Linked DNA regions of Cricetulus griseus. The protein of the gene in region 1 purifies or fractionates together with the protein of each later gene. This does not show direct contact. Links are inferred from orthologs where the notes say so. Each region holds a gene or a part of one and is shown on either strand. Other genes may lie near its edges.

Region 1 (4,531 bases):
ACCTTTTTTCTGTCATTTGGCTCCCTCTAATGGGGAAATAAAAACACTAGTGAAAATCAGTTTCAGTTCACTTTGCTGACACATGGGGAAAAGTTAAGAGTAAAAAGATGAGTAAATTTGAATATAAAATGACACCAAAAAAATTCAATGTTGAGTAAAGGGTGAGTTCATAACAATACATACCAAACTGATCGATGCTTCTTAGAAAACCTATAAGTGTCCTTCCATCTCGTAGCAGGACCAAGTGCTTTTCTGGGGAAAGGAGAAAAGATCTTTAAAACAAAAGCGACAGTTCCAGTGAGCTTATATGGTAACAATAAAAATTTAGTTACTAGCTGTTTAAGCTGGACCCTCTTCTAATGTTTTTAGGGTGGTGTTCGTTGTAAGACTTGGGAGGGAAGACTAGGGCAGGCTGGGATTTAGATGAGATCAGTGTTGGAAAGACTCAGTGGTAGAATTACGTCATGTGACAAATACAACAGAATAATATATAAGACAGCATGATAGTAGAATGAAGAACACACCAAAGTGGCTATACCAAGTGTGGAGGGGAGCTCTCTCTGAAGAGATAACTTTAGAGTGACAGTAAAGGATTAGAATAAGCCAGATATTAGAAAAGCATACAAGATTTTAACCACTCATTTCTTTAATGCTATGCATAAAGTACTTTTGTTTGTTGGTTTTTGTTCTGGCTGTCCTGAAAGTCATTCTGTAGACCAGGCTGGTCTCAAATTCAGAGATCGGCTGCCTCTGACTCCTGAGTGCTGGGATTAAAGGTGTGAGTCACCAATGCCCAGCATAAAGTACTTTCTATATGAAGAGAGGAGCTATGATTCTTCCCTAAGGAATTTATAGTCATATTAGGCTACAACTAATTATCACAATCAAGCAAATCTTACTTAAGAAAGAAACTACACCTATCCCAGTTGGACCTAGAAGGATAAATTTTGTCTATGAAAAGGGAAAGCAAAATGAAAAAAAAAATCTAATAAATAAAGCATACAGAGGAAAAGTAGTATATTAACATTTGTCTCAAAGTTAAAGGAAAGAACAGGAGTTAAAGTCAGAAAAGTATTAGAGGCAAGCTTTAACTTCAAAAGGAATAAGAAAACACTGAAGACTGGTACATGGAAAATAGGAGTTACGATGCTAAAATAGGTCTATAATGCCTACAGATTTAGAGAAAACAGACCAAACAGGCAGCTCTGACCACCTGATCTAGAAAACAGTAATGTCCAGAAAGATAAGGAAATTAGCAAGAACTAGTGTTAGAGAGACCAAGAAATCAATAGAGGGATGGTGAGAGGGCTCAGTGGTTAAGAGCACTGGCTGCTCTTACAAAGGACCCGGGTTCAATTCCCAGCACCCACATGGTGGCTCACAACCCCTATAACTCTAGTTCCAGGGGATGCTACTTCCTCTTTTGGTCTCCCCAGCAGCAGGCAAGCACAGAGTACACAGACATACATACTCATATACATCTTGTTTTTTTTCTTTAATGTTGCTTTTAAAATGCTGTGTGAAAGGCCGGACAGTGGTGATGCACACCTTTAATCCCAGCACTCGGGAGGCAGAGGCAGCTAGCCTGGTCTACAGAGGGAGTTCCAGCATAGCCAGTGATATTACAGATAAATCCTGTCTCAAAAAAACAAAACAACAAGAAAAAGCTGTTTGAGGAACCAGGTAAGAATTTAGGGGTAAAAATTAAAGTGTGGGCTGGAGAGATGGCTCAAATGAGCACATGTTACCCTTACAGAGGATGAGTTCGGTTACTAGCACCCACACTGTGGCTCTCAACTGTCCTTAACTCCAGTTCCAGGTTGGGCAGTGGTGGTGTATGTCTTTAATTCCAGCACTTGGGAGGCAGAGGCAGGCAGATCTCTGTGAGTTGGAGACCAGCCTGGTCTACAGAGTGTGTTCCAGGACAGCCCCCAAAGCCACAGAGAAACCCTGTCTCAAAACAAACAAACAAACAAAAAACAACTCCAATTCCAGAGGATTTGATGAAGAAAAGGGTATCTGACTTCGTGGATACCAGGCACGCACACGGTGCACGTACATGCAAGACATGCAAATATAAACAATAAAAATCCTTAAAAGAAATTGTATCCTCTTGGTTTATACAGAACTGACCTATTTTCAGGAAAAGCAAAGCTGTCGAACAGAAAAAAAGTAAGTCTGAAGAGACTTCGCCTTTCTAAAAAAGTCAGTTATTACAGCTGACACCTGCCCCACTTTAATCTGAAAGCGCTAACGACCCTCATAGAAAAAGAAGGTTGCAAGGGGCTACACAACAGAAAACCTGCGCTGACTGCTAATTAAATTCAACTGCTGCCGTCTTAACATTTTCGGGTTTTGGTGGGTCCTCCTAGAAGCACTCAACCATCTGCCGTCAAGTATAACTTGCAGGAAAGGCAGGGTACACGAAGGAAGTCGCCTGGGTCACTTCACAGTTCGCACGTCGGATGCTGCGCCCCTCGGAAGGAGTTCCACAGGGTGAGGGTCCCCAGTCCAGGGGCAGGGGAGGCAGGTTAGGGATGGGCTCCGAGGCTGTGAAGGCAGACCAGCCCGCCGGGGCCAGGGCTCACTCTCGAAGCTCCGTCTCGAGGGGAGCCCTCTCGAGGAAAGGTCCCACACCAGGCTTCCCCCGGGGAGAGGTACTCACTGTCGATGTCCTCGATGAGGCTGGCGGTGCCGGGCATATAGTTCATTTTGAGCTCAGGCAAGGCTGCCCTGGACAGCCACGGTGGGCGAGGGCATCCAGTCGCCCGTCGGCGGGACACGGACGGGAACCCGCCGCTCACCTGCAACTCAATTGCCGCTAGTCGCCGGAAGCGCTTTCAAGTTACCCCACCCACTTCCGGTATCGCCTGTCCGTCCACAGAAAGAGGCGTGCCGGGCGAGCGGTGGTGGGCAGCGTCTCTTCCTCTCGGGGCAGTGAAGTGGAGTCCAGATCGACTGGACGGAGGGCGGGGAGACAGGCGTTTCCCCCGCGCGTCACGAGTACCGTGTCTCTCCGCTTTCCTGCTCCGAGCCCCAGAGTGAGGGGTACGCTCCATCCCAGGCTCGGCGCTCGGCGTGCAAGGGGCGGGACTTGCTCGGGATTGGCTGCAGCCGTCCGACCCCTTTCGCCGCCGGCCAGTACCTGTCGCCCGCAGGCGCCTGCGCAATGGGCCGGCCGTGGGGGGCGGGAAGCGCTTCGCGGCAGCGGAGCCCATGTCGGCCCTGAGGCGCTCGGGCTACGGCCCCAGTGACGGCCCTTCGTACGGCCGCTACTATGGGCCCGGGGGTGGCGATGTCCCGGTGCACGTACCTCCGCCCTTATACCCTCCTCTTCGGCCCGAGCCTCCCCAGCCTCCAGTTTCCTGGCGAGGGCGCGGGGGCGCCCCGGCCGAGACCACCTGGCCCGGAGAAGGCGCAGGTGGCGATGCCTACTACCCCTCCGGAGCCGCCTGGGCAGAGCCGAGCAGAGCCGGAGGCGCACACCAGGTAAGCTTCGCAGTCTTTTCCCGGGACCCAGAAGGGAAGTCTTGGGCGGAGGTGAGGACCATTGGGGGTTTTATACTTAGGGTTTGTTACGACTCGGGTTTCTGATTTGTTCTTCTTCTGGGGAAGGTGCAGAGAAAGAGACTGGAGACGTAAGTGAGGGGATAGATGCTTGTGTTCCATTTGTCCCTTCATTTTTACTTCAGCCGTCATAAGAGTGCCAGTTATCACCAAAAAAAAAAAAAAAAAAATTATTCTGCGCTGACTTCCTAAGCTTAGTAGCAGGCTGCAGGAATCTGTCTCCCGAGAGCGTAATGTAGGGTGATTGGGCTGTAAAAATTTATCCTGCGTGGCTCGGGCAGCTGCAGTCCCAGGCGTTACTCAGCAGCCCCTCCCGCGGGGGAGGGGTGGGGGGGGATCCATCATTTAGTCCCTTATCACTAAATCTTTGCCTGGGATTGAATCACGAATAATCAATGTTGCAAAGTACCTTTATGTTCTATTTAATCACCACAAGGCTGAAAGACAGATGTTATTAATGCTTCCCATTTGTGAAAGAAGGCGGCTCTGGGAGATTAACTTGCCTAATATATTTGGACCTGTAACATTTTATTACCTGTATACATGCCAAAAATGTATTCCCATTTTTTTCCTTGTAAGGAGAAATGGTATAGGATGGTGGCACACATCTTTGGCCTTCATAACATCCTTATTTTCTGAAAATGAACTATAAAATTTCCCAATCATTAATGATGGGATTGCAAAATACTACAGTGCTTTGGGAAATAGCTGGGTAGTTTGTAAAATTTGTGGCAGAGAATTAGCTTGTGATCTAGCAGATCCACTTGTTAAGTATACTCAAGAAATGGAAAACAACAAAAAACAAAAACAAAAAAGAAATGGAAGACATGTCCACCTAAAAAGTTGTTTAACATGTCTTCATAGCATCATTAATCACAACGGCCAAAAACTCATGTAGTTATCAACTGATGGCTGGATTACCAATGGCTGGATACAATAGCATATGTTCTAAAACATAACATCC
Region 2 (4,321 bases), on another chromosome or scaffold:
CCAGTGTCAAACAAAAGCCCTGTCCCAATCCCTCCTCAGCAACCTACACACCACAGGTCCAGCTACTCTAACCCTGCTAGTCAGTAAGACCTTCATGAATGACCAGTAGGTGATACAAGAAAGGAAAGCAGGGGCACTTGCTTAGAAGGCAAGACACCCACATCTACAAAGATGCCTGTTCAGACACAGATTGCTGTAGCTAACTCAGCCAAAAGGCTGTCCTTTGCTTTTTGTTTTTATTGCTTTTATTCATTTGTTTTATTTAGTGGGGCAGGGGCAATAAGCATATGCCACAGGATAACTTTTGGGAGTCTGTTCTCTCTTTACACTAAGTGGGGTTCAGCAATTGAGTTCGGGTTGCCAGGCTTGACCATAAGCACTTTGACATCAAGTTGCCTACGGTAATTCCTAAGAGCAAGTTGTTCTCAACCAAAGGTGATTTTTGTGCCCCACCCTCTAGGAACATTTGGAAATGTCTACAGACATTATGTATTGTCAAAGCGGGAATCAGACTCTAGTGAAGAGAAGCCAAGGACATCCCTCAACAGTCTACAGTGTAGAGCAGTGGTTCTCAACCCTCCTAATGCTGCAACCCTTTAATATAATTCCTCATGTGTGGTGACCCCAACCATAAAATTATTTTCATTGCTACTTCATAAATGTAATTTTGCTACTGTTATGAATCATATGTAAATATCTGCTATGTGATCTCCATGAAAGGGTCTTTCATGGACTCGGCCCACAGGCTGCGAACCACTGGTGTAGAGTCTAGTCCTTTACAACAAAGGACTATATGATGCAACGTGTCAACTCACAGAATGACTGCCACTACCACCTCCTCCCCTCCTCTTCAAACCTTATTTTCTGGTTTAAACAACAAGCAAGGTACTTTAGAATAATCAAGATGTAAATGAGAACCAGATGATGAGTACATAAACTAGTCACCTCTCCTTATCTGTGTATCCAGCCAACATCTAGTAACATGAAGTTGCAATTACAGCTCCAATGGTTTTACCTGTTACAGAGCTAAAGGGCTTTTCCCTTGTCATTACTCCCTAAGCAATATTCCATTGCAACCATTTACATCCTATTACACATTGTGAGTGATCTAGAGATGATGTGAACAACATAGGAAGACTGCATAGGTTATATGCAAACACACATATGGAACTTTGAATATCCATGCACTTTTTAATATTGGGAGCTCTGTACCCAGTCCCTCTCAGATACTGAGGGACAACTGTCTTACTTATCAGGAGTATTTTATCCCAACACTGAGAACCTGAAAACAACCATTAAAATCTTGAATGGGTTGGCATTCTAATAAATTTCTAGTTCTGGACACACAAAAAAAGTGACTTTTCTATTTTCCAGTCCTTCATTATAAAAGGAGAAAGCAAGCCAGGGAATTAAAAAAAAAATCAAATAAAAAAAATTCTATTAGGCCACCCTTCAGTGAGAGAAGACCTGATGCAGTAGTTAAGGGTACTCACTTGGGAGGCAGGTAACCTGTATTCTAATCTCCTCTGCTACCCATCTCACCTCTCATGGCCCCAGGCTCATCTGAAAAATAAGGGAGTTATGCTAGATGGTTACTGACTATGTCTTTCTGTTCCAGCATCTGGTTAACTTGTGCAGTAATACCAACACACACACAGTTAATACCAACACACACCGCACACACACACACACACACACACACACACACACACACACACACACAACACACACACACACACACAACACACACACACACACACACACGGGGGAGGAGGAGGGGAGAGACAGGAAGGGAGGGAGGAGGGAGGGAGGGAGGGAGAGAGAGAGAGAGAGAGAGAATACCAGTAAGCACGTGGTTAAGTTGTGCAGTAATACCAACACACACAGTTAATACCAGCTCTCTCTCTCTCCCTGCCCCTCCTACGAAGATTCGGCAGGAAAACCTTGATGGCAGAACGACAGGCATTACAATAAAAAATAACAATGCCTGAAGTAACCCCGGAACCACAACTGCTGGAAGATCCAAAGTTCAAGGCCAGACTGAGAAACTCCGTGCAAGTTTAAACGAGATCAGTAACGATTCCAAAGAGAGGCTGTACTCTGCTACTGTTAGAAACACAGGAGGCGTGTTCACGGATTTGGTGAAAGAACCGGTGTCACACACGAACGAGGTAATTTACTAACACTTTAAAGAGAACCAACCCGGCAACGTGCAAGAACTATCTAACCCAATGACTTCTCCTCTGAGAACTTGTCCAAGGAGATGGTGAGAAATAGAGTCAAGGGCGGGAAGTGCATCCCAGGATCGCATGGACGCTAAGATGAAGCCATCGGGGAAACACCGGAGTCACTTATGGGACCCAGGCAATGACAAAACAAAAGCAATGAATGTTAAAGTTACACCTGGCTGCATGTGTTTAACGTAGACAGAAGACCGAGTATTTCTGGTAGTACTAGCGGAAAGAGAAGCAGGCACACACAGGAGGAGAGGAGTGGGCAGACGGAAGCGCCCAGCAGGGATCCTTTCCCCGGCTCCTCGTGTCCTCGTGTGGAGGGACTCGAGCGCGCACGGAGGAGGGGGGCGCGGGAGCGGCGGCCGCCTAACCCGGGCTGACACAGCCGGCGCCCGGCGCGCGCACGGCAGGACCGCACGGCGCGGGAGCGCGAGGCCGCGTGGCCCTGACGGCCTTCCGCTGCTCGCAGGCCGGCCTGGGCTCCAGCCGCAACCCCGCCCGCCCCGGCCCTCCGCGGCCTAGGCCGACCGCTCCGCTCCAAGCACCCACCCGCCCCACCGCCCCTCCCTCCCGGGCCGCGCGCGGGCTCACCTCGCAGCCGGATCCGGAGCCCTCACAGGCCGGGCCTCCGCGGACGCGCGCGGCGAAAACCGAAACCGCCCCCGGCAGCGCGCTTCGCTGCCTCACCCAATCAGCGGCCTCCTTGCCTACGGCAGCCCGCGGGGACCAAAAGGATCAGGCCGTTCCATAACGCTCACTTCCAAGAATTGGTTTCTTCAGTGGTGAATTCAGCATCCAGGGGCTGAAGTAAATGCCGGTGTTCTGATGTTGCCGTCTTTTTTTTTTTTTTTTTGCCAGAAAATCGAATCAAAAGCAAAACAACCAAGAAAAAAAATTTAGAAGTAATCTTTTGAGATTCCAATACAGTAAAGAATACCTTAAAAATGACAGGAAACAGAAACTTACGATTAAAATAATAGGCTATTAAGTACCCCAAATAGCCTTAAATAATTTAAAGCAAATAAAAGTTAAAAGCCTCAAGCTCCCAACCGACTTCTGAATATTAATTAAATGTATGAAGTTTAAGTTACTGTTAGAGATTGTTTCCATAGCAATTTTGCTACAAAAATATAAATAATTTAAAGCAACTCTATTACAATGGCGCCAATTGTAAAAAGACATTACAAATTAGTTTAATTGGAAACAGCATGCAGATACCATTTAAGTGCTGTGGGGGAACTTGGTTGGGGATAATGCATGAATTCTTAGTGTATGCTGACTGTTTATGGAAGGAAGAGATTACAGGAAGACTTGATTCCTTTTTTTCTACACCCATGCTCTCATTTATATTTTACATTTATATTTTAATTTCTCTTTTATATTGTATTTAAGATTTATATTTTAATTGTTTCTGATGTTTAATCATCAACACAGTTATAAGACCTTCAAACAACAGCTACACACCCTGTTAGATCTTACAGGTCCTACAATGCAGAACTTTTTCCTGAGACAGAAAGTGGTTCCTCCTTTCCTAAGAGCCTCTTAGTGAATGGCGAAAGAAACAGACCAGTGACTGGTGCCACAGACAGAGAACTGGCTGAGATTTGGTAAGGAACAGCCATATCTTTCTATCCTCTGTAAAACCTCAGCTGACTCGAAGACCGTCAACTACAGACATTGATAAGACAGCATTTTAGGCTCTTGAAATGTAAAATATAAAATTAAGAACACAAGTAAAGTCACATTTAAATCAAATAACTGTCTGCAGAGAAGAAAAGTGCTATGCCCTGTCCCTAAAACAGGCTGCTTTGTAAATCAAACTGGAAGCTGAGGATTTGGCTCAGTTGATGGCATGCCTGGTGTGCATTAACATCTCTGGCACCACAGTGGTGGGCACAGCAGTGCACACCCAAGTGTGGCTTCAGGAGGATCAGAAATCCAAGCTCATTTGAGGCTACAAAATGAGTTTGAGATCAGCTGGGCTATTTGAAACCTTATCTCAAAAGAATTGTACTGTGTTCCTCACTGATTGCTTTAATTATCAAATATACATTACATATGTAGACTGAAATAAGTAGTAGAGATAG

Evidence for each region.
Region 2: the proteins of Lsm1 (region 1) and Lsm6 purify together in Homo sapiens (co-immunoprecipitation; 3 studies listed by BioGRID and IntAct, counting the BioPlex papers as one, with this or other methods). This does not show direct contact. The link is inferred for Cricetulus griseus from reciprocal best matches to the Homo sapiens genes LSM1 and LSM6.

The regions. Positions count from the first base shown.
Region 1 is NW_023276807.1:57,996,349-58,000,879, forward strand, and holds the start of Lsm1 (U6 snRNA-associated Sm-like protein LSm1), read right to left. Parts: upstream 3,046-4,531; 5' UTR 2,712-3,045; coding exon 2,666-2,711; intron 253-2,665; coding exon 184-252; intron 1-183. Other genes in the region: Bag4 (BAG family molecular chaperone regulator 4), read left to right, coding at 3,217-3,489. UniProt on the Homo sapiens protein: Plays a role in the degradation of histone mRNAs, the only eukaryotic mRNAs that are not polyadenylated. Probably also part of an LSm subunits-containing complex involved in the general process of mRNA degradation.
Region 2 is NC_048596.1:154,693,649-154,697,969, forward strand, and holds the start of Lsm6 (U6 snRNA-associated Sm-like protein LSm6), read right to left. Parts: upstream 2,964-4,321; 5' UTR 2,826-2,963; intron 2,423-2,825; exon of another isoform or gene 2,404-2,422; intron 1,564-2,403; exon of another isoform or gene 1,494-1,563; intron 1-1,493. UniProt on the Homo sapiens protein: Plays a role in pre-mRNA splicing as component of the U4/U6-U5 tri-snRNP complex that is involved in spliceosome assembly, and as component of the precatalytic spliceosome (spliceosome B complex).